Elephas maximus indicus: one gene and its partner. The protein of the gene in region 2 interacts with the protein of the main gene of each other region in a pairwise test. Links are inferred from orthologs where the notes say so. Each region holds a gene or a part of one and is shown on either strand. Other genes may lie near its edges.

Region 1 (15,028 bases), on a different chromosome or scaffold from region 2:
AATGGGTCGGCAGTTTGAATCTGCCAGGAGCTCCTTGGAAACTCTGTGGGGCAGTTCTACTCTGTCCTATAGGGTCTCTATGAGTCGGAATCGACTCGACTGTGCTGGGTTTTTTTTAATTGACCCAAAGGAAACCCTGGTGGCATAGTGGTTAAGAGCTAAGGCTCCTAACCAAAAGGTCAGCATTTCAAATCCACCAGCCATTCCTTGGAAACCCTATGAGGCAGTATTAGTCTGTTCTATAGGGTTGCTATGAGTCGGAATCAACTAGTTGGCAACAGGTTTTGGGTATTGACCCAAAGATAAGCCAAAAGGCCTACATTATTTAGTTTTTCACAAATCCCTGGACATTCACATAGTGAAAATATGTGTAATTATCTGAAACAAGAAAATCTGTTTTATATATAATAAACACAGTTGTTGTTATTCACACTCAGCGAATCCGACCCCACGTTGCAGAGTAGAACTGTCCCGTAAGGTTTTCTAGGCTGTAATCTTTGCAAAAGCAGATTGACAGGTCTTTCTCCCACAGAGTCACTGAGTGGGTTCAACCACCAACCTTTCAATTAGCATACAAGCGCTTAACCATTCTACCAGCAGGGCTCCTTATACACACAAACATGTTGTTGTTGTTAGGTACCATGAAGTCATTTCTGACTCATAGTGACCCTGTGTATGACAGAATGAAACACTGCCCAGTTCTATGCCATCCCCACAATTGTTGCTATGATTGAGCCCATTGTTTCACCCACTGTGTCAACCCATCTCCTTGAGGGTTTTCCTCTTTTTCGCTGACCTTCTACTTTACCAAGCATGATGTCCTTTTCCAAGGACCATTCCCTCCTGATAACATGTCTGAAGTATGTGAGATGAAGTTTTGCCATCCTCATTTCTAAGGAACATTCTGGCTGCACTTTTTCCAAGATAGATTTGTTCATTCTTTTGGCAGTCTATGGTATAGTCAATATTCCTTCGTCCTCAAAGTGACATTTTTGCTTTTTAGTACTTTAAAGAGGTCTTTTGCAGCAGACTTGCCCAAGGCAATATGTCTTTTGATTTTTTTGACTGCTACTTCCATGGCTGTTGATTGCTGATCCAACTAAAATGAAATCCTTGACAACTTCAATTTTTTCTCCATTTATCATGATGTTGTTTATCGATCCAGTTGTGAGAATTTTTATTTTCTTTATGTTAAGGTGTAATCCATACTGAAGGCTGTAGTCTTTGATCTTCATCAGTAAGTGCTTCAAGTCCTCTTCACATTCAGCAAGCAAAGTTGTGTCATTTACATATCGCAGGTTGTTAGAGTACTCCTCCAATTCTTCATGTAGTCCAGCTGCTTAGATTATTTTCTCAGCGCACAGATTGAATAAACCCACTGCCATTGAGTCAGTTCCAACTCACAGGGACTAATAGGACAGAGTAGAACCGCCCCGTAGGGTTTCCAAGGAGTGGCTGGTGGATTCAAACTGCTGACCTTTTGGTTAGCAGGCAAGCTGTTAACCACTGTACCACCAGGGCTCCAACAGATTGAATAAGTATGGTAAAAGTATACAACCCTGACGCACACCTTTCCTGATTTAAACAATGCAGTATCCGCCTGTTCTGTCCCAGCAACTGCATCTTGCTCTATGTTCAGGTTCTGCACGAGCACAATTAAGTTCTTTGGAATTCCCATTCTTCGAAATGTTACCCATAATTTGTTGTGATCCACACAGTCAAATGCCTTTGCACAGTCAACAAAACACAGGTAAACATCTTTCTGGTATTCTCTGCTTTCAGCCAAGATCCATCGGACTTCAGTAATGATATCCCTCATTCCATGTCCTCTTCTGAAGCTAGCCTGAATTTCTGACAGTTTCCTGTCGATATACTGCTGCAACCATTTTTTAATTGTCTTCAGCAAAATTTTACTTGCATGTGATATTAATGATATTGCTCAATAATTTCCACATTCCGTGGATCACCTTTCTTTGAAATGGGCCTATATGTGGATTTCTTCCAGTCAGTTGGCCAGGTATCTCTCTTCCAAATTTCTTGGCATAGACAAGTGAGTGCTTCCAGCATTGCATCTGTTTGTTGAAACATCTCAATTAGTATTCTGTCAATTCCTGGAGCCTTGTTTTTCACCAATGCCTTCAGTGCAGCTTGGACTTTGTCCTTCAGTACCATGGTTCTTGATCATATGCTACCTCCTAAAATAGTTAAATGTTGATCAGTTCTTTTTGGTACAGTGACTATGCGTATACCTTCCATCTTCTTTTGATGCTTCCTGTGTCATTCAATTTTTCCCTATACCAAACCAAAAACCAAACCTGTTGCTGCAATGTTGCAACTCAAGGCTTGAATTTTTATTTCGGTTCTTTCAGATTGAGAAATGCCAAGTCTGAAAACATAATAATCAACACAGCAGCAATATATTCCCCAGCACACAGATTGTGATCTCGAAATACCATTTCCCACCAAAAATGAACCATCACTCCTATGGGATATTAGTAATACCACGTGTTGTGGTGGTTAAGTGCTCAGCTGCCGACCAAAAGGTCAGCAGTTCAAAACCACCAGTTGCTCCAAAGGAGAAAGATGTGGCAGTCTGCTTCCGTAAAGATTTACAGCCTTGGAAACATTATGGGACAGTTCTATTCTGCCCTATAGGGTTGCTTTGAGTTGGAATTGACTTGAGTGCACACAACAATAACATTGTACAGGAAATATAGAAGATAAAACTAGAATATATTATCATCCCAGAAAGCAAAGATTCTGTCAACGACCACTGCAATCATGTCAAAAAGACTCAGGGACCAAATTGAAGAGGCTACCACTGGTCAAAGATAGGGCATGAGCATCAATAGAGAATAATAACTATAGCAGAGTTAAACACTCCAAGAATGTTTAAATTTATAAGTTCATAATAATAATTTAAAATCCTCAGTCATTTTTGAAGGATGCTATGGATGCAACTCATTACTTTGAAAACTGGTAAATAAATACAAAATATTTATCCTGTCTTTTGTTTATGAACCTGAGGGCAACCAAGTAGTTAATGAAGAAAACATTCCTTCATAGAAATAAATACTTCAGCTGATAAATGAAAAAAAATGATAGAATTAATATACTATCATTCAGCAACCTTTAAGGAAATAACGGATCTAAGAAATAATTATCAATGGCTGCTAAAATCACAAAAAGAAAGATAACCAAGTTATGTGCATCTTGATGAAGTACACAATACCATATATGAAGTATTTCTGCAAAAATATCCAACCTGAGTCACATCCAGGCTCTATATATAAATCATGAATTACAAGAAATACAGACAACAGAGAAATACATTAAATATCCTCATGAACAAGCATTCAGCAAAATCGAGACTTCAGAAAACACAGGGCAACCTATGCTGTTTCGTCAACAAATAAATGTCAAGGAAAAAAAAAAGAAAGAGGAACGTATAGATTAAAATAGGCATAAGAGACGTATCAACCAATTTCAATGTATTGACTTTATTTCATTCTTATTTTCAGAAATGAAAAAGTGATATGTGTAAAAACTGGAGACACTAAAATGATGAATTATGCCCAAAATTCAATTAAACTTAAGAAACACCTATGGGAAGATGGAAAGGGTAATAACTGTGGATCTTGGACCAATAACCCTAAACTGATGAAGTGAAGAGAATCAAATTTCCTGGTGGGAAGATGAGCCATATGCAGTTTGAAGAAGTCCCAAAATAATTCTGATTTTCCTTCTCTCCCCATTTAGAAACACTGTCTTAGACCCAATCATATACAGAAAGGCAAATAAATGAGGACATGGTTATGTCACTACCTCTCTTGGCCACTCGGCTCATTTTATTCATGCTTTTATTGTGAGTTCATATACAGTTTCACCAACTAGGAAAGAAACATCATTTTCACTGGTGATCTGCATTATATACAAGATTAGAGTAGATTCTTTTCATTCCCTTCCATTTACCTGCAAATTTCTATGCCAATTTATCTTTTCACTCACTTTTCCTCTTTTCTTGCTTATAAATTATCCACCCTATTAAAAAGCATGACCGTCACAATTTCAAGTTTCAGCTACCCACTATGTTCTCATCCACATGATCTCTTAAACATGTTTAAAGCATTAACAACAGGTTGTGTTTCATCCTAGACAGCTGGGTATCATGGAGAGGTAAAAGGTTTCATTATCTCATTCTATCGTCCAAGACAAATGTGCTATTGTGTTGTGTGTCAAATGACATCTTTGAAGTCTATTAAAGGTGTGCTGTGAATTAAGCCATCTGGAAAACACAGTATAGACTGAAAAATAATTAATTATAAGCCAGTTTATTTTTTTTCCCCCAGTTAAGCCTACTAGGACAGCTACTAAAAACCCTAAAGGGTAGAGGCTCTGAAGCCACAGGTTAGACCCTATCTCCAACGAAGATTAGCCAGTGCACTAGGTTACTTAACTTCTCTAATCTTTTTGCTCTCTCTGTAAAATTGAGATGCTAAAACATACCTCTTAAGGATTTTACAAAAGTTAAATGAAATAACAATTATAGAGTACTTGGAACAGAGTTGCTATGAGTTGGAACCAACTCAATGGCAACGCCATTGTTTTTTGCTCTGTTGTTTATGGTTTTGGAATGGAGTAAACAACTGACAAGTAGATAAGTGTGATTTCCCATTTTTTTCTTTTAAATATACCCATACCCATTGCTGTTGAGTCAATTCCGACTCACAGCGACCCTGTAGGACAGGGTAGAACAGCCCCATTGGGTTTCCAAGAGTGGCTGGTGGATTCCATCTGCTGATCTTTTGGTTACCAGCTGAACGCTTAACCACTGCGTCACCAGGGCTCCCTTTTAAATATAGAGAATATTTAATATTCTTTCCAGTGGCACAATGGTTAAGATCTATGGCTGCTAACCAAAAGGTCGGCAGTTGGAATCCACCAGCCACTCCTTGGAAACCTCATGGGGCAGTTTTACTCTGTCCTTTAAGAAACTTTCCCTGCACTTCCAACTTAGGCTAAGTTCCCCTCTTGCTTACTCTTAAAGTACCCTGTAGATACATCACTCAGCAAAGTTATATTAAATTAAAACCATTTATTAGATTTGAATGCCACTAGAGAGAGCTTCTTAAAAGCTAGGACCTGTAACATATTCAACTGTGCACTCCTAAAATATGGGATTGCTGAATTTAGGATAGCTGGAAGCCCTGGTGGCATAGTGGTTAAGTGCTATGGCTGCTAACCGAAAGGTCAGCAGTTCAAATCCACCAGGTGCTCATTGGAAACTCTATGGGGCAGTTCTACGCTGTCCTACAGGGTTGCTATGAGTCCTAATCTACTGGACGGCAACGCGTTATAGAGTAGCAATAAGTTGGAATCTAATTCACCGCAACTTTTTTTTTGTTGTTCTTTAAGTAACAGGGGTTTTTTTTCTTTTTTTTTTTTTAACGTAGAGAATATTAGATATTCTCATAATATTTGGAAACCAGGTCGAGCAAGTTGATTTTGCAAAAAAGTCCATTGAGCTTCCGCGTGGTTTCCTTTGAATTTCAAGGGAGATCAAGATGGAAGCTTCCTCTAAAAATTCCAGTCGGGAGCAAGTTAGGACCCCAGACACGCTTAAATAGGGAAGCGCTGTCCGTGGTGCTAGTAACCGCGCACGCCCATGCCCAAGGAATGGTCTTTCGACTGAAGTCGCTTTTCGAAGCGCACATCCCTGCCTCTTAGAAGATTCTCAGTTATTCTGCTTATTGGCTTCTTCCTGTCTTACTCACCACTTTTCACCTATGTCCTCTTCAGCAGCAACCACAAAAAAGGAAAAACTATCGCTTCAGTTTCCTAATCAAATAGTTTCTGTATTTCAGACACTATGGCCCATGCCTACCACTTAAGACAATCGCTCGTAAATTGGCTCAGGGTATCATTTTCTAATCTTTTCAAGCGTCAGGGAAATAGAAAGCTGAAAGCCAGGACACAGGAACTCGTTAATTTATGACCCATTCTTTAATACTCTTTTCAGTTGACTCCTCCTTTAAGAAACTTTCCCTACACTTCCAACTTAGGCTAAGTTCCCCTCTTGCTTACTCTTAAAGTACCCTGTAGATACATCTCTGAGAAAAGTTGTATTAAATTTAAACCATTTATGAGCTTTGAATGCCACCAGAGAGAGCTTCTTAAAAGCTAGGACCTGTAATATAGTCAACTGTGCACTCCTAAAATATGGGACATGCTGAATTTAGTTTTGCTGAACTAAATTCAATTCCTGAATTCAATAGAAAGATGGTCCCAACAACACTCCTTTAAAGACCTTCCTAGTTGTATTTGGCTGTGCACGAAATCTCATCGTCAATATGCTCTTTTGATTAAGATGCTCCAGACTGAGCCCATTTGCCACCATATCCACCAACATCAGTCTGGTGACTCATCCCCTCACAGCAACTGGCAATGAGTTAATGCCACCCATTTCAACGACTCTATATCTCCACTGCCCCTCATCTTTCCTCTTCCTTTTCCATTCTGCCTAGACACTTGAAATCTCCAAAACACCGAGTAAGAACTGAGTTCAAAGACTACCATGATTTTCATCCAGAAGCAGACTTCTATTCCTCTGGCCAGACAAAGGAATGGAGTGACCATTAGGAAATAAAAGGAATTTTTCCAGATAAAAATGGAAGGAAGTTTGTGGGAATGCAAAATGTTATAGCCACTTTCAAAGACAGTTTGGCAGTTTCTTACAAAGCTAAACATAGTCTTATCATATGATGAAGCAATTGCAAATTTAAACCCAAATGAGTTTAAAACTTACATCAACACAAAAACTTGCACAAGAATGTTATTGCATCTTTATAACTGCCAAAAATTGGAAGCAACCGAGATGCCCTTTAATGGTTGGCTAAAGAAACCATGGTACAACCACGCAATAGAATATTATTCAGTGATTTAAAAGAAATGAGCTATCAAGCCATGAAAAGGCATAGAGGAACCCCAAATGCATATTGCTAAGTGAAAGAAGTCAGTCTGAAAAGGCTACATACTGTATGATTCCAACTATATGAAATGTTGGAAAAGGCAAAACTATGAAGACAGTAAAAAGATCAGCAGTTGTCAGAGGCTTGGGAGGAGGGGAAGAGAGATGAATAGGTGGAGCACAGGGTATTTTTCAAGTGGTGGAACTATTTGACATGATACTGCAACAGTGGATACCTGATATTATGCATTTATCAATATAACGAGCAAACCCTAATGTAAACTAATAATAGTGTACCAATATTGGTTCATCAATTGTAACAAATGCACCACACCAAAGCGAGATGTTAACAGGGGAAACTGGGAATGGGGTGAGGGAGTGTATGAAAACTCTGTACCTTCTGTGTAATTTTTCTATAAACCTAAAACTTTTCTGAAGAAAAAAGTCTATTAAATGCTTTTAAAAAAAAAGAATGTCAAATAAGAGTGAAAGATTGAGGAATTCAGGAACTAAACACTAAGAAATGGGGGTGGGTGGAGAGAGAAAACTTGTTACAGTAGCTGCTTTCTTCCCTACCCTGTCTAGGTGGATTTCAGCCCTGTGGAGGCTCAGTCAGTGACTCTTCAGCCCCAGCCTCCACTTCCATGGACCCCACTGCCTTTAAAGAAAAGCACTCTTCCTCATTCTACAGAGGATAAGTGGGAGAGGGAGTCAGAGCTAAGATACACCAGAAGAAACACGTTAAGTCTCTCATACATGACTAAGCAATTGGCCTCCCTTTAAGACTTTGTCTTCCTCAGCACCCTGAGTCAAAATGATTTTAGAAATAAGTGTCGGGCTTTAAGAGAAGCCCACTCTTATGCAGTTCCTCACCAGTTTTCAGGCAGCAGATACATAACTTCTGCTTCTTTTCCTATTTCAATGTAGCACCAGCTGCAGTTTTTTAAAATCTTTAAAGCAATGAATATATTCACTGAAAGTCATCTAGGAAGATTAAGAAGAAAAAAACAAGCACTTGGTCTTTAAATCTTCAGAAGGGGATATAATGACAGGTTCAGCCTGTTTAATGACAGGCCCAGCGCCACACCTTTGTTTTTATTATGTTTCATTATTACTGCATAAATTTCCTTTATTACTCATAATAAATAAAAACCAAATACCAAGGTGGGTTAAACAGGTAAGAGTGCAAACAAGGGTGTACTTTACAAATATAATGAAAATATGATCTCTGATTCCTTATTTTTAACATTTTTCATATATCTTTCATGTGCCAGGTTGCTACCCTCAGTCTATTTGTTGTTGTTTTGTTTGGGGGTGGTGGAGGAAGGCCTGGCGATCTGCTTCTTGTAAACCATGGAGCAATTTCACTCTCTAATACATGAGGTAGCCATGAGCCTGAAACGACTCCACAGTAACGGGTTTGGGTTTTTGTTTTGTTTTAAATCCATGATTAAAACAAAAGAGAAAAGCACAGCAAAACAAGATTCTCGAGATTTTTCAGTATTTCTGGTTGACTGATTCTAATAGGACGGCACACCCAAAAGAAAACTGCTAAGATGCAAGATGTGAAAATTGTGAAGTCAAGTACCGCCCGGGGATGAATTTAACCTGCATGACAGGTGCAGAGCTGTCACTTTCAGACATCTTAAAAGAGACGGAGTTATTTTAAAGGCATTTCTCTCTGCCGCCCGATAACATAAATCTAATCAGGAAATGTCTCCAGAGTGAAACCAGCTGGTCCGGGGCTGAGAGGAATAGAAGTCCTCTGCTCCGCCTGCTGGGGATTTGGAGCTAAATGCAGTGGGTCAGCATTTCCAGAAACTTAGCGTCCCGGATCTGCTGGACACTCAGCCAGCAGCGCTTCCGGCGTTCCCGGGCGGCTTGCCCCGCCAGCCTCTGCGCATGCGTCTCAACGCCGACTGGGGCGGGCCGCCCACCCCCACCCCACCCCCACCCCCACTCCCATCCCGTGGGCTGTGACGTTAGGCTGGCCTCCGGGCGTCCACCGAGGGACGGGTCCTGCTGGCCAGCCCGACAGGGGGCGGGGCCTAAGGGGGTGGGGCGAGCCCGGCCCGCGGCCCAGCTGGGAACTGAATTGACTCCAGGGCGGCTTCCCACTCCGGAGAGCGAGGCCCGGCGGTGCGGAGGCTGCGGCACGCACGCACTGCGGCCGGAGCCGCTTTGCGTCCAGCGGCGGCCACTCAAGGCGCCGTTTCCCGGCAGCGGGCTGGGCGTGTTCGCTGCCTCTCGAGCGCTTGGAAAAGCCAAAAGCTAGCCCCCAGCCGTTCGGCCATTATACGCGCCCCCAAGCCGCACGAGGACAGCGGTAGGGGACTGACGCTAACTGAGCTCTCCCAGGGAAGGGAAAGGGCGCCGGGCGGGGTGAGGAGGGAGGTAGGGAGGAGGATCGCGAAGTTCACGGCCAGCGGTGGACTACCCCGGCCTCGCGCGTCTGGGGGTGTCGGAATGCGCGAGGAGGACAAGGGCATGCTCGGCAGTGGCAGTGGCGATGGGGGCCTGGCCAGCGCCGCGGCGCGGGGGCAAGTGGAGACGGTGCGGCAGCTCCTGGAAGCCGGCGCGGATCCCAACCGAGTCAATCGCTTCGGGAGGCGCCCGATCCAGGTACCTGGGGCCCCGGGTCCTGGCCGGCAGGGGGCGCGCGAGCGCGGCCTCCGTGGGTCGGGGGCTGAGACCGAGACCGAGACCGTAACCGACGTAGACGTGTGCAGGAGCCTTTTCCTGGAGGTGTGGGGCCCCGCCGGAAAGCAGGTTTTTACACAGCAAAAATCCTAAAGAAAGAAATTGAAAAACTTAGTGCTTCAGTTTGGTTTTCTTTTCAATGATGGAAAAAACATCCACAATATTTCCTGAGCCCTCTCGTGATCAGAGATGGAATACATTCAACTGGGAAGGAGAGGGGGAGAAGTGGGATATTTGGGGAGGAGGACTGTTTTATCTGTTGTCTACTCTCAACGATAAAGATAAATAAATTACAAATTCCACAATCTGGGTTGGATTTAAGGAATTCTTCTCCAAAGTGATAGCATTGGGGGGGGGAAATGCACTGTAAATTTTTAAGCCTCTATATGAAATCTTTCATTTTTCTCTTTCCTCATAGAGGCAAGTTGAACGCAAAGGAATGAGATAGGATTCCTCAACCACAGTACTTAATTTCTTATATTAGCAACGTCTTTTGAGTGTCACATAAGAGGGGAAAAAAATGTTCCCATAGATTTTTTGTTATCATACAGAATTCTTGGATTATAAAAGCATTTCTGCAGCAACTGTTGGGTCCTTTTTCAATGGCAAAGGGTCTTCATAAATAATTAGCCTCTTAATTATTAAAATACATTTATTCAATATGTTAAACCATTAATTTCGCTTTAATTAGCCCATCCATTGCCGTGGAGTCGGTTCTGACTCATAGCGACCCTATGGGACGCAGGAGAATTGCCCCATAGGGGTTCCAAGGTCGTGATCTTTACTGGAGCAGGCTGCCGCATCTTCGTCCAGAGGAGCGGCTGTGTGTTCGAACTGCTCTTTCAGGTAGCCACGGAGCGCTTAATGACTGCGCGGTCAGGGCTCTTTTAGCTTTAATTATTTTAAATTCCATTAAAATCTAAATTAATCCCTTTGCGCTTTACTGTTGACTGCTGTGGCTCAATATTCAGTACTCACCTCACCATTACCTTCCAGAACAAGCTATTAAGAAACCTGGTCAATAATGTACACATTTAAGAAAACAGGTGTTCATTCCTTTTGAATACATAGCAATTCTTAGAAAATTGGTATAACAAATGAGGGATACAGGGAACAAAAATATTGCAAAGTGCTCTTTAAAGACTTCATGTTTTGTTTTTCTCTAGTTTTAATTCACCATCTTCTGAGATTAAAAATCATTTTTCCTCTTTATATATAAAAACCCCTTTACATCACCTGATATTCATAAAACACAAAATTAGAGGTATACTGCCTTTCACTCAGAAACCCTGGCGGGTAGCGGTTAAGAGCTACCGCTGCTAACCAGAAGGTTGGTAGTTTGAATTCGCCAGGCTCTCCTTGGAAACCTTGGTTTGGTCTTTCAATCACGTGGTACATTTTAAAGCCTATAAACCCACAAGGAAAAAGAAAACTTCATTTTGGACATTTATCAAAAATCATTTTTATAGTTCACTTAAAAGTTCTTGAATGTGTGTGCACAAATGGATGCTACAGAATTACTCCTCCAAGCATTTTTTCTAAGTTACGCTTTGTTCTGATTTGACTGCTAATATTCAAGCTTTTTATACAAGAAAATATTTACTATTTAACATTATAAAATCCTAGCCAAATTGTACAGTATAGTGTTTGCTTTACATATTATATTAAATATGGTACACACTAAATATTAAAAATGTTGAACTCTATTAAAAATCATTTATTTTCATGGTCTTGTAAAACTATAAATGACTTAGTTTTTCCTCTCGAACTCCAGCTTTGGCCCCAATTATGGGACTATATAATCCGTTTATGAGCACAGACATACATGAAATAAGGCAGAAGCCTTCCACAGATTTGCAACGAGAACCAAACAATGTAAACCTCTGTAAACTTAGTTTACTTCTAGTATTACCCCAGCTTCTGAAAAATATCAGTTGACTGCCTAACAAATATTTTTAGCCCTGCATTATGGGAAAGGAGGAGAGCAAGGGAAATAACTAGACTTTAAAAGCCAGTTAAACAACTCCATCCCTAAATTGTATAACAAAATAGATTTCCTTGTTCCAGTGGAAATCAAGTTGTTCCCCCCCCCCACACACACACACAACAACGATAAACACTTTGTCATCGGCTCGCTCTTGTCTCCGCACGGTTGGATAACACGGAATTCAATTTGAGCGAAGAAATGAGTATGACTGGCGGGAGAGGGGGTAATTGCAATTTAAGAGTATCCAGACACCTGAAGCTCGTAAAAAAAAAAAAAAAAGCTCCTCTATATTGGGTGACTACTTCATAAATATGTATTTCTTTAAACTAGCCTCATCCACGCCGCCGGGGATCTCGCTCCCAAGCCTGCAAATCGGTGACCCTCCTGTCGCCCTGACCGCTCTGCTCTCCCCGCAGGTCATGATGATGGGCAGCGCCCGTGTGGCGGAGCTGCTGCTGCTCCACGGCGCTGAGCCCAACTGCGCAGACCCCGCCACCCTCACCCGACCGGTGCACGACGCCGCGCGGGAGGGCTTCCTGGACACGCTGATGGTGCTGCAACGTGCCGGGGCGCGGCTGGACGTGCGCGACGCCTGGGGCCGCCTGCCCGTGGACCTGGCTGAGGAGCGGGGTCACCGCGACGTCGCCCTGTACCTGCGTGCGGCCGCGGGGGACTGATGGCGGGCGCATCCAGCCGCCCACGACTTTTCTCCCCCATTTCCCACCCCACCTAGTTCAATGACCATTGCAAACGTGGAGCGGCGGAGATCCTGCACGCCTTCCTGAGCCGCCGACTCCGCTGAGGGAGGAGGAGCAAGCCCGGAATAAAATTCATTTGTGCTTTTTGCTGGATCCGGCCTTAGGCTCTCACCGTGAAGCCACATGCAGGAAGGTGGGGCCCATGGGTTGATTTCCAGAGAGATTTAGGGGTGGGATGTGGAGTGCGCCGGTGTCGTTCACTTTTTGGAGTTGCCTGGCGGAAACTGGCGTGCGAAGAAGTCTGCAAACCATCCTGGCGCCTGCGAACCTGCACACAGATGACGCTGGGGAGAAGTGGGAGGCGGATGACTGGCTTTTGGGTGTGGGGTGGTCGGTGTTTTGTCCCACAGACAGCGAAGAACCGCAGTCTGAACCCCGCTGCGCGCCAAAGGCCCTGGGGCTACGAAGGAAAATCTAAAGACTGAGGCCCAGACAACTATGAGAGTCGTGTGGGCAGCAGTGAGCAACCAACCCTTTACTCGCTGTGCGGTGTGCGGTAAGTCAAGGGTGAAACGATGCCTTCTGGAAGCTTGATGCCTTCTGGAAGCTCGGGAAACTGGCACCCAGCCCCACGAAATAGTGGAGGGGGAATAGAAGACGTGGAAGCGATGGCGGATTTGCCGGCAAACTCTAAAATCCCTGGGTCACCTTGATGCAGAGCCACGCTCCAAAAGGTGCTGGCTCTTGCTCGTATTCCGTCCTGGAGCGCTTCCCAGGGCATTCCAGAGGCGCCGGAGTCACAGTGCGCAGAACCAAGTGGGAGGTGCTAAGGAGAGTAACTGTAGCGGTTTGCTTCATCTACATACGGAAATCCCCCTGTAAATTGCCGCTTGGAAAGATTTCCTAATATTTTGTACTTCTGAGTTTTTCTTCAGTGACAGTTTTATTTAATGGGGAGACCTGAAATAACAAAGTAGCCCTTAGTAACGCGGTGAAAAAGAACTACAGCTCTTAAAAGAAGCAAAGGCAAGGCACAGTGGCAAACTTAGGGTCGAACGCCTCCATTACTTTCACTTTTAACCTATTTCTTCTGTTAAATTCTCTGACCGTTTCCTCTACCCAGGTGTCTCAAGGGCCAAACTATTAAATATTCCAAATGTCTTTCAGAAAATCAGGGCACTTATCCAGTAAAATATCTCGAGATATTTCCCAAAGGGTTGCTGAAAGAAATTGAGTATAAAACTGCTGAAATATATCGTGATGGCTTCTGGAATTTTTTCTTTATATCTGCTGAACAACTAAAGGTGCACTGCTTTGAGGTTTAATTTCCTGTATTGTTTGACTCATTATGTATTGGAACAACAGAGATTTCACGGCTTTAATGAAGACTAAACAACAGAAATTGAACTCCAAGATGCAGATTCAAATTTTGGGTTAAAATGTTCATGGATTTACCACTACTGAGAAATGTTGAAGACTCAAAGGGGTTCACTTCTCTCATTCTCTGTAATAATTGTTAAGTGATGCCAACAACAGTTTATAAGAACTGCTTCTATAAGCCATAGAGAGTTATTATATATTATGATAGGTACATACATTGTGCTTTTTTAAGTATCCAGTTTACCATATATAAATTGGAAAGAGAGGAAACAGACCAAAGAAATTATTTTAGAGTAGAGACTTATAAGACTTATTTGTGTATCTGAGCTAAATATACACATCTTTACTTCTCCATCAATTCTTTATCCCCAAAAGTAATATATTACTGGGGAAGCTTAGTTAGGAATCTGAGCATATCTAATTGGGAAAACAAATAAACATTGACAAACAACTTGTGCCACGGATACTTTATATGTGTTTACTTAACACTTAAAACAAATGTGAGAGATACGTATTGTTTCCCAGATGAGGATAATGAGGCCAAGAAGTCACAAGAGTCCACGGTTGCACAAAGTCAGTGTGTCTGGCTCCAGAGATATGTTATCCCCCTCCCCCCGTCAGCATTAACCTGTTGTCCAAAATTATTAATGATATATATGAAGTTGAAAAAAAATTTTTTTTCAACTAATTTATTTTTAAAGAGCAGAAACAAAAATGGTTCTCCCTTATAAATTCCTGAGGGTTTTCTTTTCTTTCTATAACATCTAGTACAGTATCATAAATATAAGCGTATTGTTTCAAATTTATTTTAAACTGTCAACAATATGAAAAACAGCCCCCAAAAGAAACACCTAAAAAAAATGCATTTGGAACAAAGATAATGAAACCCCCATTTCTAAATTAAGACACAAGGGCAGAAAATACAATTTCTGTTACCACTTAAGCATTGAATTATCGGCTACAAGAACAGCAATTTTTAGGTTTATATTGTTTTACAATTACTAAGAAACATTCTGCATAAAATTAGTCAGCTGACGATTTCAAGTCCATTTAATTTATAAAATCCCTGATGATTTTGTGCTCTACTTCTTTAGTTCCAGTTGTTCAATTATGCTATGTGCGTGAGACTGGGTAATGAAGAATGATAATCACTTGAGACATATGAAACATGTGATTTCATTCCTAATTTAAAGAAATTGTGGTATCTTTCCTAATGACAACAGGGAATTAAGGGGAATAAGGTATGGTTGTGGATCCCAAAGTACCATATTATAATTTTTATGATTTTTTTAATAA
Region 2 (15,369 bases):
TTACTGTTACAATAATAAATTTAATCCCTGGTACAATACAGGTAGCATTTATCTGTCTGTCTTATGACACATGATACTTTCCATCATCTACCATCTTATTCCTTCAAACACAGGAGGAACTACTTTAAGAGTAGAGCTAGGTGTGATTTATCCCAGTATCTTTCCCAGCACCTAGGCCTGTTGTTTTTAGAGAGTTGTTGTCCTTAGATGCCATTGAGTTGATTTTGACTCATAGTGACCCTATCTGACAGAGAACTGCCCCATATGGATTTCTGGGCTGCAATTTTTGTGGGAGCACAACGCCAGGTCTTTCTCCCTCAGAACCAGTGGGCGAGTTAGAACTGCCAACTTTTCTGTTAGCAGCCGTGCACTTAACTGTTGCGCCACCAGGGCTCCTTATTTAAAGAATAGGTCCTTCCTAAATACTTGTTGAATAAATGGAGCTTAAATGTTCAGATATATTAGTTATATGTCAACGCCTTCTTATACAGAGCTATTTGTATGTTCCTAAGGACAGCAAGGAAACCCTGGGGGCGTATGCTTAAGAGCTACGGCGGCTAACCAAAAGGTCAGCAGTTTGAATCCACCAGGCGCTCCTTGGAAACCACATGGGGCTGTTATGCTCTATGCCTATGAGTTGGAATCGACTCGATGGCAACGGATTTAAGGACAGCAACTAACGAGGTGAAATTTAATCTCCGAAAAGCATTTGAATGTGATTAGTGTTTTGGTTATCTTGCCTACTAAATCAGCAAATTATCACAAATACTAGTTGCTCTATAAAACTGGTTAAGATTTAGAGCAAAAAAAAAAAAAAAGCCAATCAAATTAATAGGACATATATTTTTAAACAGAAAACAAAACAAAGCAAACAACAACAACAAAAAAAACTGCTATTACAAGCTGAGTTCCATCCACAAAGGGAAGAGACTTTTTCCGACTTGTTCACTGCTGAACCCTCAGCTTTTAGCAGTGTCTGGCAAAGTAGGCCCACAATAAATACTTGTTTAATAAACAGGCTACTGATAACACATGTTATTTAATCTATTTTGTTTTTAGTTTAGGATGTAAATAAAACAGGATTCATTTGAGGACTGAAGAGCCCCCCATATAGGTTCCTACTGAGGTCTGATTCTGGCAAAGGCTCCAGGCTTTGGGATTACCAACTGTAAAATAACAGTGAATTTACATCCCAGATACTGATCAAGCCCAGGCCTGGGATACATCAAGAGCAGGTAAGCAAGAACTTCAAGCCATCATCCCTGCGCCTGTAGGCAATGCCAGTGCCAGCAATAACAAGTAAGCTTTTCTGGCAAATCCATCAAAATTAAATCTTAAACTTTTGAAAAAAAAAAAAACTAGTATGTTTATTATGCTCCCTTCATACTTAGGGGCTTAACTATCTGTGGGGAGAGCCTATAATTATGATCATTTACTTATAACCTAAAAGTATTTATAAAGGCATCTGCCCTTTTGAGAACCTTTTTCAAAGAACAGGACTCTAAAACTGATCCTGTGGGGCAACAATAAATCACAGGTTTGGGGGCCCAATTTTGACAACTCTTGGAAAGAATTGCTGTCACCTGTCTTTAATTTCCTGACCCTGCTACAACAAATATCAGCAACGTCTAAAACCCAGAATTCCTAGTCTGGCCAAGCAAGTCACCGAGGCCAACGGCTGCTCCAAGACAGAGGTAAAAGAGAACAGGAAGGAAACAAAAAGGGAATGGACATCTGTGAGCTCATGAAAGTGACATCATCATTGATAATATCCTCGAGTGTCACTGAACTGCATGACATAGAACTAATAGTCTTTTCTAACTAAAGCTAATTACACTCACAGAGCCTCTTGGTTCTGGAGGCTTCAATGTCTGGGTTTGTCTGTGAGTTGTTCTGTGAAAAATTCAGGTGAACTGAAGCCTTACTGGAAAATTGCTCCAGGGCAAGGGTCTCACTAATCTGCCTGAATATAAAGTTTGAAGTAAGGCCGTCCCCAGGTTACAGGTTACATCCAATTTACCCAACTCATGGACAACAGACAGCTCATACTTGCTCTTTAACGTTATGTAAATTTGCCCTCACTTTGAAATGACTGAACCAACCCCTCTTCTTACAACAAATTCTTCATCACAATCACCTTTACTTGCTGCACGTCAGCTTTTAAATCACTGAAAAGGCTTCAAGCCTTTTCTTGCACTGAAGTTTAAGACTGCTTGTACTTTTAATTTACGAAGTGCTTTCATATACACTGTCTCACTTTATCTTCAGACAACTCTGAGGTAAGTGTCTTCGTCACCACGTAACATACAAAAATAACTCTAGAAAATGATGCCTTTGTCTTCAATTCACAAGCATATCTTCCTGAAATTTCACGGTGCTAAATACAAGTCAGGAGTCAACTAGGACAAATCTCAAAAACACACCAATCTCAAGTGGATAAATCTGTAAAAGAGATCATCCAAAATCTACCAGTACAATGGCAAAAACAACTCACCCTTCTTCTGTTACAAAAATACCTGTGCTTTGTAAACTATAGCATTATATCACTTTTAATTGAATACTCCATAGATTACAAAATAAGAACATTTTTCTTAAAATTCTAGTGGTGGAATTCATCCATTGGGAAGGGCTTAGGTAATTACTTTGGGAAGATAACTAGGTTGTGGGAGGAGGGGCTAAATGTGCCCTTCCCTTTTCTCTCCAATCTCACAAAGACCTCCAAGTAGGGTTTTTGCTGTTTTGCAGCAAAGAAAACACATGCCCCCGCCAAAGTAATCTTTTGCTTTATATATAATCTCATCTTCCTAAAATACCCATTCTCCCAATCCTATTATCTCTTGTCTCTCCTTCCTTCACTAGCTAAAGTGGAAGTACACTGGAGTGTATCTTTATAACCACATACTACCTTATCTATGTATTTATGACTCCTTGGGTGCCTTCTAGGCTGTGTCTAACTGTCCTGGGAACAAAGCACCACACAAATCACGCCGTTTGGATAGGAGGAGACAAGTTAAAACCTCCCAGGAAGACTCTGTACACACTTGTGCTCCCTGAGTCTGCAGAGGACTTCGTATTTCAAAGGTCAGTCTTGAGTCTCTCCACTTTGATGACTAATGTTAAACTGTTTGACTCTTTATAAAAATATTTAGCTGTGCTTATTTACATAATTTCATCCACAGTGCACACAGTAGGCACATATCTGTTGAACAAAATCCCCAGATGGATGAGAAAACAGGGAGAAGACCTCCCCCCAACCCCACAAGACCTTCTTTTTCCAACATAGTAGCTTAACAGTTGAGAAAGGTAAAATTACAACCCAATTTATAGAAGTTTTTGTGTATTCCTCTGCTACATAAAACTGTATGTCTTTGTATAAAACAAGGGGAAAAAAAAGGGATGACACACGACACAACGTCAACCACGCAATGGGGAAATTCCAGTATCACTAAGAAAACACCATTATCCTAAATCACACACACTTTCCTTTAATATCGGTTACCAAAGAGGAGAAGCTTTAAAGACTGCTTTCTCCCAACCAATCGCAGAACCAGTCCAGGAAAAGCAACGGCAAAAGGCAGAATCTAAGGATACCACATCTTGGACTCAAGTCTAACGCTCTGAAGAAATCTAAGGGCTATGGCAACCCAGAGATATAAAGTAATAGCACTGGGTAATGACAAGTAGGTAACATTTTCGGAAGAAAAGTTTTAAAGGACAGTGTTAGCAGCTGGGCATTAGCACTGATGCTCCTTGTACTATCACGAATCACTCTTATCGCACGCATCTTTTAATAAACAAAGTACAACACATGGGGTCGCCAAGAGTCAAAATTGACTCCACAGCAATTTTGCTTTAACTCTGGGGTGTAATTAGCAAAAAATTCCTCAGAGTTTCTACATTTTTTATACCTTATTTATACCAGACTAGTGAAGTTGTCTTCCCACTAATTACCACACCGCATACTGCTACCTCTCAGTCTCTCAAAAATTCCCCAGTGACGGGGGGGCGGGAACAATGAGGGGGGCGGGAGGGCGTGTGTGTTTCAGCTTGGTCTGTTCTGGCCCTAAGGGCCACTCAATTTCCCCGGACTCCCCCCTTCAGGGCAGACAGGGAGAAAACAAATAACTTGCACACCAGTAGGGAAGCCTGCGCAGGTCACGTTTTCTGACTGGTGTTTCTGCTCGCTGTCTGGCAAGGTCACCGACGCTGGCTCAGGGCTCTGTTGACAAAACTTACTCGCACTCTGTAAGATCCACGGGTCGCTCCGGGCCTGCCTAGCGACTACCCCCGCCCTCACCCTCTGGACCTGAGGACCCCCGACCCTGCCAGGGCGCGCGGCCCGGACAGCTCGGGCACCGCTCCCTCGCTCACCTGACCACGTTGGGGTGCTCGAAGGTCTCCAGGTGCCTCAGCACCGCCACCTCGCGGATGGTGGAGAGCGGCATGCCCTCTTCGCCAGTCTGCACCCGCACACGCTTCAGCGCCACGAAACGGCCTCCGTTCTTCAAGTCCCGGGCCTTGAACACCTTCCCATAGGCGCCCTCCCCGATCTCCGCCACGCACTCGTATTGCTGGTCCGCGCGACTCAGGCCGTCCTTCTCCATACCGTCCTAACACCGCCCGGCGCAGCGCCGCTGGAGCGGGCAGAGAGCGCGCTCGGCTCGCTTGCGGCCGCCGCTCGCCTCCTCCCGAGCTCCGGCGCTTGGTCTCGCTCTCCCTCGCCCCCGCCGGCTCCGGGGCTCTGGCTCTCGCGGCCGCCGGGGCTGGATGGAGCGACCTCCCCTCGGGCGGGCGCAGCCCTGGTACCGCCGCTGCGAAACCCCGCCTGCTGAGTCGCCGCCGCCGGAGGAGCGAGCCGATCCCTCCTCTTCCCTCTCCGAAGCGGAGTCCTCTGCTCAGACACCGAGGCGATTACATAGTCTCTGCCCGAGCGCTTCACTGGGCAAAATCGCTTCACCTAAAAGAGGAGGCGGTAGGACAAGAAGAAAATACAATCAGACATCCCAGTCGTCTTCCTCGGGGTTCCGGCAGTCTCCCCTCCTTCTTCAAGAAGCCCCCATCGCTACCCGCCGCGCTCTCCTGCCCTCTCCCAGGCCTCTCAATCCTTCCTGGTTCCTCCGAGAAAAGCGAAGTTACTTTTCTTTCCCTGTAGAGCTGGAGCGGTCTTCGCGCGGAGAGGTTGCAGGGGCCCCTCGGGGATGAGCGCGCCGCGCGGGGCGCAGTGGAACGGGAGGGGGCGTGCCGAGCAGCCCAGAGTGTGCCGGGAGCGCGGGGGAGGGGAGGCGCCGGGCACGCCAATGTCACGGCTTAATACTTATCCCTTTATCATTCTGTTGCACTACTACCATCCCCACTCCGCCGGGGCCTGGACGTGCAGGGACAAGGGGGTATGGGGGTGCAGGGGTCCCGGGGGGCGTTCAGGGGTCGTGCACAAGCCAGTGTGGCGAGACTGGGGGTCCACCCGTGTGGGGCCGCAGAATGTTGGAGGGGGCTCCCAAGACCCTGTAACCCGATGCTAGGAGTGTGCGAGAAGGGGTGGTCAGACATCTGCTCGGAAATTGCTTCCTTTCTTTCTGCTTTCAGTTTTTCTACGAGGAGACATTTAAAAACGACTCGCACACACAAATAGTCTTTTGGGGTAAAGGAGTCTCGGTTGGAAAACGAAATTCTTCCTTCGCCTCAGAGGACCTCCCTGGTGTAGACCCAGGGAGGACAATCCATCTGGTCCAGGACGACTTGGGCTTCCGCTATTCAAGGGGTGGGCGAACGAGGGGCCCTAGTGAAGGCAGTCACCCACGGGACCCCAAGGGTGTGAGACACTTTCGCCTCCTTAAAAAATAACTTCAGGAAAAATGTAGCATGACTGTGACTCACCCTGAAGTTCTCATCTGATTTCAACCTGAGCAAAATCCAACCTCCCAAAAGGGAAGAAGAAGAGTATATATATGTTGCGCCTCCCGGGGTGAGAGAGAAAGGGATGCGCCCTAGGGATCGAGACACGCAGACTTTTTCCCACTCCAAGGACTGTCCCCGATGTAGGCAATGGAGGCAGCTGCGCCAGTCCCCTTCGGGTTGAGGCCCGGTCCTGTCTGCGGCCAGACGTCCCCCGGAGCCCTCGGCACAACAAAGCGCCGGGCGGGGGGATCCCCCAATTTCCCTCCCCATTCAGCTGCATTTCAGGGCCGAGGGGACCTCCCGCCCCACCGCCGCCGCAGCCTCAGTCGGACATTCGCTACGCCAGCCGCGTGTCTGGAATTCCCAGGACACCTCGGAATTACCTTCCCGCAACCGCTGGCCCGCTCGCCTTCCGCCAGGAACTAAACAAACGGCGCAACCCCACGATGTGCGGATGGATGGGACCGCGACGAGGACAGAGCCCCTCACACTCCGGCCATCCAGAGCTCTTCTTAAAAGGTGAAGACGATTCCTGGGGAGCCGAGGAACAAGCCCCCAGAGCCTGGCTGGGGGTCTGGGCGAAGGCGAGGGCCACACAGGTAGCGGGGGAGCCGCCGCTGGCCTCCCAGTCCGCCCTCCCGCGTCCCTCCTCCCCCGAGTCCAGCGTGGGGCTCAGCGGCGAAGGAAGCGTCGAGGGACGTCCCACCCCCGCAGGGAACTGCGCCCGCCGCCCCGCCTGGCCCCGCACCGCCCGCAGCCCTCGCCTTGGCTCTCCCCCCCTCGCTCCCCGGACGGCTGGCTCCGGCGGAGAGAAACAGGAGCAGCAGTGCCTTCCCCCCCTCCACTTTTTTTTTTTTTTTTTTGCTGTTGTTGCTTTCCCACGCTGGCTGAATGTGACTTGACCCCATTTCAAAAAAGTTTGACATAGTGCTTCAACATTTCCGCATTCCTCTGCGACTACAAAGGCTGCAGCCGCCTCCTTCTGCTTTCTGTCTCTGCTCTCTGTCTTCACACTCAATGAAATCCTTCATGTGCCTCTCCCGAAGCCTGCCAAGCACTGCAAGGGTCGCCACCAGCGCAGCGACAAGAGGCCGCACCGGGGACCGCGAATGCGGCTTGTGCGCACACGCAGATGCGCCCACGTGCACACAGACGGGCGCGCTGCGGGACCTAGGAGCTTCTAACTGCGGGGCGTGCGTTTTAGCTGCGGTTTTTTTAAATGATAAAAGTAAACGTGGACACTAAAGCAAAACGGTGACCTCGCAAGGGCTCCAAGCCTGGGCACTGGCCGACTGCGTGCACTCTAGTTGTGCATAACACGTCCGCAGGGGTTGTCAGCAGGAAGCCTTCGTTAACATAGATCTCGTGGTGGGGAAGGTGGAGCCCACACCCACACCTCAGCGAGCTGGAGGCACTTTCGTGGAGAAATAAAATGGGGCAGGGAAACACATTCTCCCGCATGGAGTCCCCAGAGGCAGTGCATTTGAAACACTAAATATGGATTATACGAGTGTCCGAGTGCAGTTCCGTTTTGAGAAGCTGGATAAGGAGTGTGTGTACATGTGGGTGTTTGTGCAGACGGATAAGTGGAGACGGGATCTCGCTGTTAGGGGGTGTCCCTCGGGTGGGATGTTCACGTCACGCCAGATTGGGAGGGACTCCTGTAGCTGCCCAAAACTGGCCCCCGTAACCTACCCCGCCTTGGTTCGGAAGGAGTTAACCAAAGCCAAGTCGGCGGACACACAGCCCCCCCACTCTTACCCCTACCCCCACCCCGCCTTCGACCCTGTACAAGCCTCCAAATCTCCTCGGGACTCCCCACCAAGAAACCCACCCACCCGAGCGCACAGCTCCTCACCTGAGGGACCTAGCCGCGTCCGGCCACCCGAAGGGGCTTCGAGTGCCTGTCAGACCTCGGCACTTACCCAGGGCCGTGCAGAGCAGGTAATGCGGCGCAGAGGAAGGAGTTACCAGTACTTTCTCCGGCTAGGGGGTGGGCACAGCGGCGGAGGGCGGAGGGACGGCGGAGGGCGCCGCCTGCTTCGCTCGCCGGGGGTGGACGGGGGCCGTGGGGCTCTGGCCGGGGATCGCGGCCCGAACCCGGGAGGCAGCGGGGGCGGCCGCGGGGCGGGGGCGGGGACGGAGACCCGGTAGGCCACCCCTGCCGAGGACCCACCCGGCGGCGGGGCCGGGGTCTCGCGGCACAGTGGCAAGCAAGTGTGCAAATTAAAGCCTTCCGGAGGGAGGGGAGGCGGCGGAGAACCGGCCGTACTAGGAGCCTCCCCGCTCCCCAGCCCTCAGCTCGGAGTGGGGGTCAATAAGGGGGAGTTTAAATGAAAATTTCTGGCTTTCACTGAAACTGTAGTGGGGGATCTCGCGACCTAAATGCGAGGCGTGAGAAGGAAAGAGTGTCGTCGGGAGTCGCCGGAGATTGCAAACCCAGGGCGGTGCAGAGTTAGGGTTTTGACAGGGTGAGGCGGGGGTATCTTCAGTCAGTGATGTGGACGGATGGGAAAAACACAAAACAAACAACAGTAATTATGAGGGACTGGAGGGAGTGGTAAATATCAACACTTTCCAAGAAACTAAAAAATCAGACCAAAAAATAACTCTTCTCTATTAAAAAAAAAAATTTTGGCAGGACGCCTTGCAGAAAAGAAAATACTAATCTGTCCAAGCACTTTTCACTTTCAGCCTGAGCCACATTTGTTTTGTTTTCCTTCGCTTCCTTTCGGCCTCACAAAGCCTTATCTTTTCCTTTTGGACAGAGGATATGGTTTGGAAATTGTCAGGCACTCTTGTGGTTAACGATCTACTTGAAAGGGCTGGCTAGTTCACAATTATTAAGTGGTTAGCAACTGCTGAGGGTTCAATAAGATATTTCTCGGGAGCTAAAAATACTAAAATTTAGTGCAAATAACAGAATTGCAAGATAATGGGCACCCCCCCCCCCCCCACACACACACAAAGAGGAGAGAACGTGATTCGGTGGGTTCTCAGTTTAAATGCATTATTGGAATTCTGAAATTTGAAACCTTGTGAGAAACGAAGAATGTGTACTTTACCTGCTGAGAAAACCTGAATACAATTATTTCAGGTGAAAATGAGATTGGGGTTGGAAGGTCTGCAAGACTTCTACAGGGGAATAAAAGAAAACTTACACTAGCTTAAAATTTACAACTTAAAATAGCTGTCTTTTGGGAAAGAATTCAGTGCTCTCCAAAATTCCGTATCTGTACAATACTTGAAACTTTTTTAAACATCTTAAAGCAAAGCTTAAAAAAAAAAAGCTATTTCAGTGTTTTGTGAAAAAAAATTAAATCCTGCAAAACTCTGTTTGAATTAGAAATGCTACCTCTAAATATCTTTTGGCTTTTGAATTAAACTATGCTGCTAATTTCTAATTTCACAGAAGATCAAATTTTTGCCTTCATAAAATTGATGCTATACTACAATATGAAGTAATAAAAAAATGAAGTAATAGGTTAGGTAAATGAAAGTTGTTGTGTTTCCACTAGCAAATATTTTGCAATACATTATAATTTTTTTAAATAATGAAAATCAATGGTTGTGTTTCTTTAAGCCTAAGATACTTCTTAAAATACATTTTGTGTTCAGGAACATATCCTCCAAAATAAAATCCAATTTCTAAACAAAATTTGTATTCATAAAGATGTTTGTAATCACATACACCTTCTACATTTAAGAAAGCAAATTTGATTTTGTATTTATATAAAATATTCAATCACTCTTAATCACTAATTAGAATTTAAACCAGAGACACAAATAGAATCCATTTTGATAATTGCCCACACTTTTCAACACTTTTTAAAACAAGATTTACTTGCTGATAACTCAGATGTTTATATAACCCAGAAATAATTGTCAATAAATAATCATACAAAGCAGCACATGATGGCAAGAACTTATTTGAGTAAATAATTTGTTTTTTAAAAAGTCCTAAGCTGTAAATATATTTAAAATTAACAGAAAAGAGTCTTTTCTACAGAGTGTTGCATTTTCAATTACTGAATTTGTCAAAAATCATAGCTGGATTGGAAATTTCTTGATTTAGGCAACTAGAATTTCAGTGCTTTGTGAAACAATTTAAATCCTGCAAAATTCTATTTGAATTGGAAATCTCCTAAATATCTTTTGACCTTTGAGTTAAACTATGCTGCTAATTTCACAGAAAATCAGATTTTTGCCTTCATAAAATTGATTCTATATTATAATATCAAGTAACAGGTTAGGTAAATAAAAATGGTTATATTTTAGGTAAATAAAAATTGATGTATTCACTACACTTGGGCAATGTAAAAAACAATCAAATTTGATTTGACTATACATGTTAATACCTAGTGTTGATTGTCTTTGTATCATCTGCTTTTTCTGATATTGCTTATCTTTTATGTTAGTTTATCATTGTTCATTCTCTCTAGTTATGGTTCACGTTAAATTCCAGTTGGTTAAAGCTTCAGACTCAAGGAGGTTTTACAATGGATTGTATAAAATTAGTACACAACAAGATCGTTTTTGTTTATGGGTGGCTTCCTCTGTGGGTAACAGGTTATCTTAACAAAATTTGTGCAAGGTTTACAAACTGCGAACCAAATTCCTACTCTCTTCTTTAGGAATCTTCTATGAATGAATACATAGCATTCAAGAATAATTGCTTGCAGCGATGTTTTCACTCTACATATCAGATTTTCTAAAGCTGCAAATCATTTTAAGGATTTTTAAAAAATTAGAATTCATGGATGTATCTCCAAATATGGTACTGTAATTTACACTGAAAAGTTTCTTAGTGTCACATAAGGGATGTATTCCATGTGTGAACACTTTTAAATCAAGCACCTTTAAATTCTTGTTTTTACTGAAATAAAAATAAATTTTAAAACTCTGTTCTATAATTGATAATATTGCTTAAGAAATTACTAATTTACTTAGATTAGTAATTACATTCCAAAAACCAAACCGACTGCTGTCAAGTCCAACTCCTAGCGACCCTGTAGGACAGAGTAGAACTGCCCCATAGGGTTTCCAAAGAGCAGCTGGTAGATTCGAACTGCCGACCTTTTGGTTAGCAGCCATAGCTCTTAACCCCTGCTCCACCAGGGCTCTAGTTATTGTATTAGGGTACATCTAATTCTAAATATTTTCTGATTTATATTGGCTGTTTAATTTTTTTTTTTTTAATTCCAGAAACTTGGAACTTAGGTACTGTATCATATACTACATAGTAATTTTAAATGAAGGTCTGTGTAAAATAAATGTATACATTTTTGTCTATAAAGGTCTCCTGTTTATTGTTTTGATAACGTTCCTGAAGGGTCTGGGCCATTAGTAGTCATGTTGTAATTGGGTTACTATAGTTTTCCATTAACTTTAATCACAGGGTATGGTATTACTAAGAGACCCCCTAAGGAATTTCCTGTGTGCCAGACATACTCTTTTTACCTCCATTATGTAGTATCAATCCAATTTCCCCTTGATAATCAGAATCAGCCACACCAGCCAACATGGTAGCTCCCTTCTTTGCCTGTCGATCCAGAGGCATAAGGAGCCCTAAGTGGCCAAGTGGCGTTCTTAACTTCCAGTTCAATGGAATCGGTGTTGTGTCTCCAGGTGGAAGCATTCTTCCCTTTGAAATTAAGAATTCTAGACCAGCAGAGTATAGGGTCGCAGGGAGAGGAAGCGAAAGTATTGCAAGTGAGTCACTAGGGATAATAGTGAACGGTGCCACTCCGTTTCCACCTCTTGATTCTTGGACCCGTGAATCCTGGCTATGGGAGAAATAGCACCATATAGTGGATGCTGGTTTAGAGCAGATACACCCTCCTGGAGATCATTGCCCCAACCCTGCAAGGTATTGCCACCTAGTTGGCACAGTAATTGTGTCTTTAGAAGGCCATTCCATCACTCTATCCAGCCAGCTGCTTCAGATTGATGGGAAAGATGGTAAGACCAGTGAATTCCATGACCATGGGCCCATTGCCATACTTCATTTTCTGTGAAATGAGTCCCTTGGTCTGAGGCAATGCTGTGTGGGATACCATGACGGTGGATAAAGCATTCTGTAAGTCCACGGATGGTAGTTTTGGCAGAAGCATGGGATACAGGGAAGGCAAATCTGTATCCAGAGTGTCTATACCAGTAAGAACAAAATGCTGCCCTTTCCATGATGGAAGTGATCCAATGTAATCAACCTGGCACCAGGTTGCTGGCCGATTGCCCCGAGGAATGGTGCCATATCAGGGACTCAGCGTTGGTCTCTGCTGCTGGCAGAATGGGCAAGAACTAAGCAGTGGCTGTAGCCAAGTTAGCCTTGGTGAGTGGAAGTTCATGTTGCTGAGCCCATGCATAACCTCCATCCCTGCCACCATGGTCACTTTGTTTATGAGCCATGACAGGAGTGGCTGGGGAAAGAAGATGACTGGTTTCCATAGAACAGGTCATCCTATTCACTTGATTGTTAAAATTCTCCTCTGCTGAGGTCATCCTTTGGTGAGCATTCACATGTGACCCAAATATCTTCACTTCTTTGGCCCATTCAGAGAAATCTATCCACATGCCTCTTCCCTATACCTCCTTGTCACCAATTTTCCAATCGTGTTCCTTCCAAGTCTCTGACCATCTAGCCAAACCATTGGGCACGGCTCATAGAATCGCACACTCGACCATTTCTCCTTCCAAGCAAAGCGAACAATCGGGTGCAATGCCTGATGTTCTTCTGCCCGTTGGGAGAATTTTCCTTCACCACTGTCCTTCAAGGAACTCCCAGAAAGGGGCTGCAGTGCTGCTGCTGTCCATTTTCCAGTGGTGCCTGCATATCGTGCAGAAGTATCTATAAACCAGGCACAAACTTTCTCTTCCTCAGTCCACTGATCATAAGGAACTCCCCAGGAGACCATAGGTGCAGACTGGGAGAAGGAAGGTAATGTGAAGAAAGTGGAGACCGTGGGCATTTGGGCCACTTCCTCATGCAATTTACTTGAGTATTCATTCAGGTTCTGCTCAAGCCCTATCTTGTATATACCACTTCCATCTAATGATGGAGTGCTGTCGTGCATGTCTGACCTTGTGACTCTGTGGGTCAGACAACACCCAGTTCATGAGGGGCAGCTCAGGCCACATGGTGACTTGGTGGTCCATAGTTAGGCATTGAGTCTCTACTAAGGCCCAGTAATAAGCCAATAGCTGTTTCTCAAAAGGAAAGTAGCTATCTGCAGAGGGTGGCAGGGCTTCGCTCCAAAATGCTACGGTTGTGCGCTGTGATTCACCAGTAGGGGCCTGCCAAAGACTCGGAATTGCATATCTATCAGCCACTGACACTTCAAGCACAATTGGATCAGCTAGATCATATGGGCCAAGTGGCAAAGTGGCTTGCCCAGAAACCTGAACCTGTTGCAGAGTCTTGTTCGGTACCCTACTCAAAGGTAGCAGCTTTTTGTGATAAACGGAACAGAATAACACACCCAAATGAGGGATGTGTTGCCTCCAAAATCCAAGAGGCCCACCAGGCATTGTGCCTCCTTTTTTAGTTGTAGAAGGGGCCAGATGCAACAACTTGTTGTTCACTTTGAAGAAATATCTCAACATACCCCACACCCCTGGACCTCTAGAAATTTCACTAAGTTGGAAGGTGCCTGAATTTTTGTCAGGTTAATTTCCCACCTTCTAGCATGCAAATGTCTTACCAATATGTCTAGAGTCATTGATACTGCCTCCTTACTAGGTCCAATCAGCATAACCTTTCAATGTAATGGACCAGTGTGACATCTTGTTGAAGGCCAAGATGATCAAGTTCCCAGTGGGTTAAACTATGACATAGGACTGGAGAGTTGATATACCACTGAGGTAGGACAGTGAAGGTGTATTGCTGGCCTTGCCAGCTGAAGGCAAACTGCTTCTGGTAGTCCTTCAAAACAGGTATGGAGAAAAATACATTAGCCAGATCAATAACTGCATACTAAGTACCAGGAAATGTATTAATTTGCTCAAGCAATGAAACCATACCTGGAATAGCAGCTGCAATTGGAATCACCAAGCGGTTAAGTTTATGATAATCCACTGTCATTCTCCAAGATTGATCTGTTTCTTGCACAGGTCAAATAAGAGAGTTGAATGGGGATGTGGTGGGAATCACCACCCCTGCATCCTTCAAGTCCTTGATGATGGCTGTAATTTCTGAAATCCCTCCAGGAATACAGTATTCCTTTTAGTTTACTATTTTCCTGTATAGGGGGCAGTTCTAATGACTTCCACTTAGTTTTTCCCACCCTTACTCCACATGTCAGGAATTCAACGTGTGGGTTCTGCTAGTTGCTGAGTATGTCCATTCCAGTTATGCATTCTGGAACTGGTGAAATCACTACAGGATGGGTTTGGGGACCCACTAGACCCACTCTGAAATGGACCTGAGTTAAGACTCCATTAATAACCTGTCCTCCATATGTCCCTACTCTGACTGGTGGGCCATAATGATGTTTTATGGAATTAGTGTCAGTTCAGAGCCAGTACCCAGTAATCTCTGAAAAGTCCAATTATTTCCTTTTTCCAGGTAAATAGTCACTCTCATGAAAGGTCATGAATCCCTTTGGGGAAAGCTGAGAGAAATATTAACAGTACAAATTTTTGACATGTAGTAGGGTCCTTCCTCAATGAAACCCTCCTCGCCTTCATTCAAGGGGTTGTGGGTCTTTAAACTCACTCATGTCTGGAAATTGATTGCGGGACTATGACTCTCTATTCTGGCAATTCAAGTTTGACTGCCATTCACATGACCTAGGATTCTTCTGCTTACACAGATCAAGTAAATAGTAGATTCCCCATCTATATAACTCTTAGCGACACCATGACTAAGTAGCCAAAGCTGTAAGTCCATGCGAGTCAGAGTATTCTTGAGTACTGCCGTCCATTATGGTAACCATGCCCACCTTGTCTTTGTCAATTGAGTGCTGCCACTTGGCTCCTACCACCCCAGGATCCAATCAGTGCCATTGTAGTCAGGTGTCTTAATTCACTTAAGGAAGTTCCCACTGTCAAATCTAATGGTTTTACTGTAGAGGGTGGCTTAGCATACAAAGATGGAGCGATCTCTTCAGATGGGAATAAAAGGACTGGTTCTGTTGGCAGGAGTGATTCAATGGAATTTAGGTACTCAATGTCCCCAGCTTCTTGATTATCTGCCCATATGTCCCCATCCCAAGTTTCAGGATCCCATTTCTTCCTAATCAATGCCCTCACTTTAATTTCAGACACATTTGAGTTTGGGAATTCAGTTGGCATTATAATTCAGCCACACTTATGATAGGACTCTGGGTTTGACTTTTGGGAATATCAGCTCTGTTACTGCAAGAATAAGGCTTCCTTTCAGGTCACAAGTGGCAACTTTCAGGTCTTGTATGCAGTACTTGAGCTGTGACTCTGAAGATTTGAGCTTATCCTTTTCTTTCATCACTTTGTCTAGCA

What was found.
Region 1: the proteins of CDK6 (region 2) and CDKN2B interact in binary tests that used the Homo sapiens proteins (3 or more experiments, as listed by UniProt). The link is inferred for Elephas maximus indicus from reciprocal best matches to the Homo sapiens genes CDK6 and CDKN2B.

The regions. Positions count from the first base shown.
Region 1 is NC_064827.1:31,878,782-31,893,809, reverse strand, and holds the start of CDKN2B (cyclin-dependent kinase 4 inhibitor B), read left to right. Parts: upstream 1-9,287; 5' UTR 9,288-9,433; coding exon 9,434-9,589; intron 9,590-12,070; coding exon 12,071-12,331; 3' UTR 12,332-15,028. UniProt on the Homo sapiens protein: Interacts strongly with CDK4 and CDK6. Potent inhibitor. Potential effector of TGF-beta induced cell cycle arrest.
Region 2 is NC_064826.1:62,913,590-62,928,958, forward strand, and holds the start of CDK6 (cyclin-dependent kinase 6), read right to left. Parts: upstream 7,868-15,369; 5' UTR 7,754-7,867; intron 6,492-7,753; exon of another isoform or gene 6,279-6,491; intron 5,985-6,278; exon of another isoform or gene 5,137-5,984; intron 4,958-5,136; 5' UTR 4,605-4,957; coding exon 4,372-4,604; intron 1-4,371. UniProt on the Homo sapiens protein: Serine/threonine-protein kinase involved in the control of the cell cycle and differentiation; promotes G1/S transition. Phosphorylates pRB/RB1 and NPM1.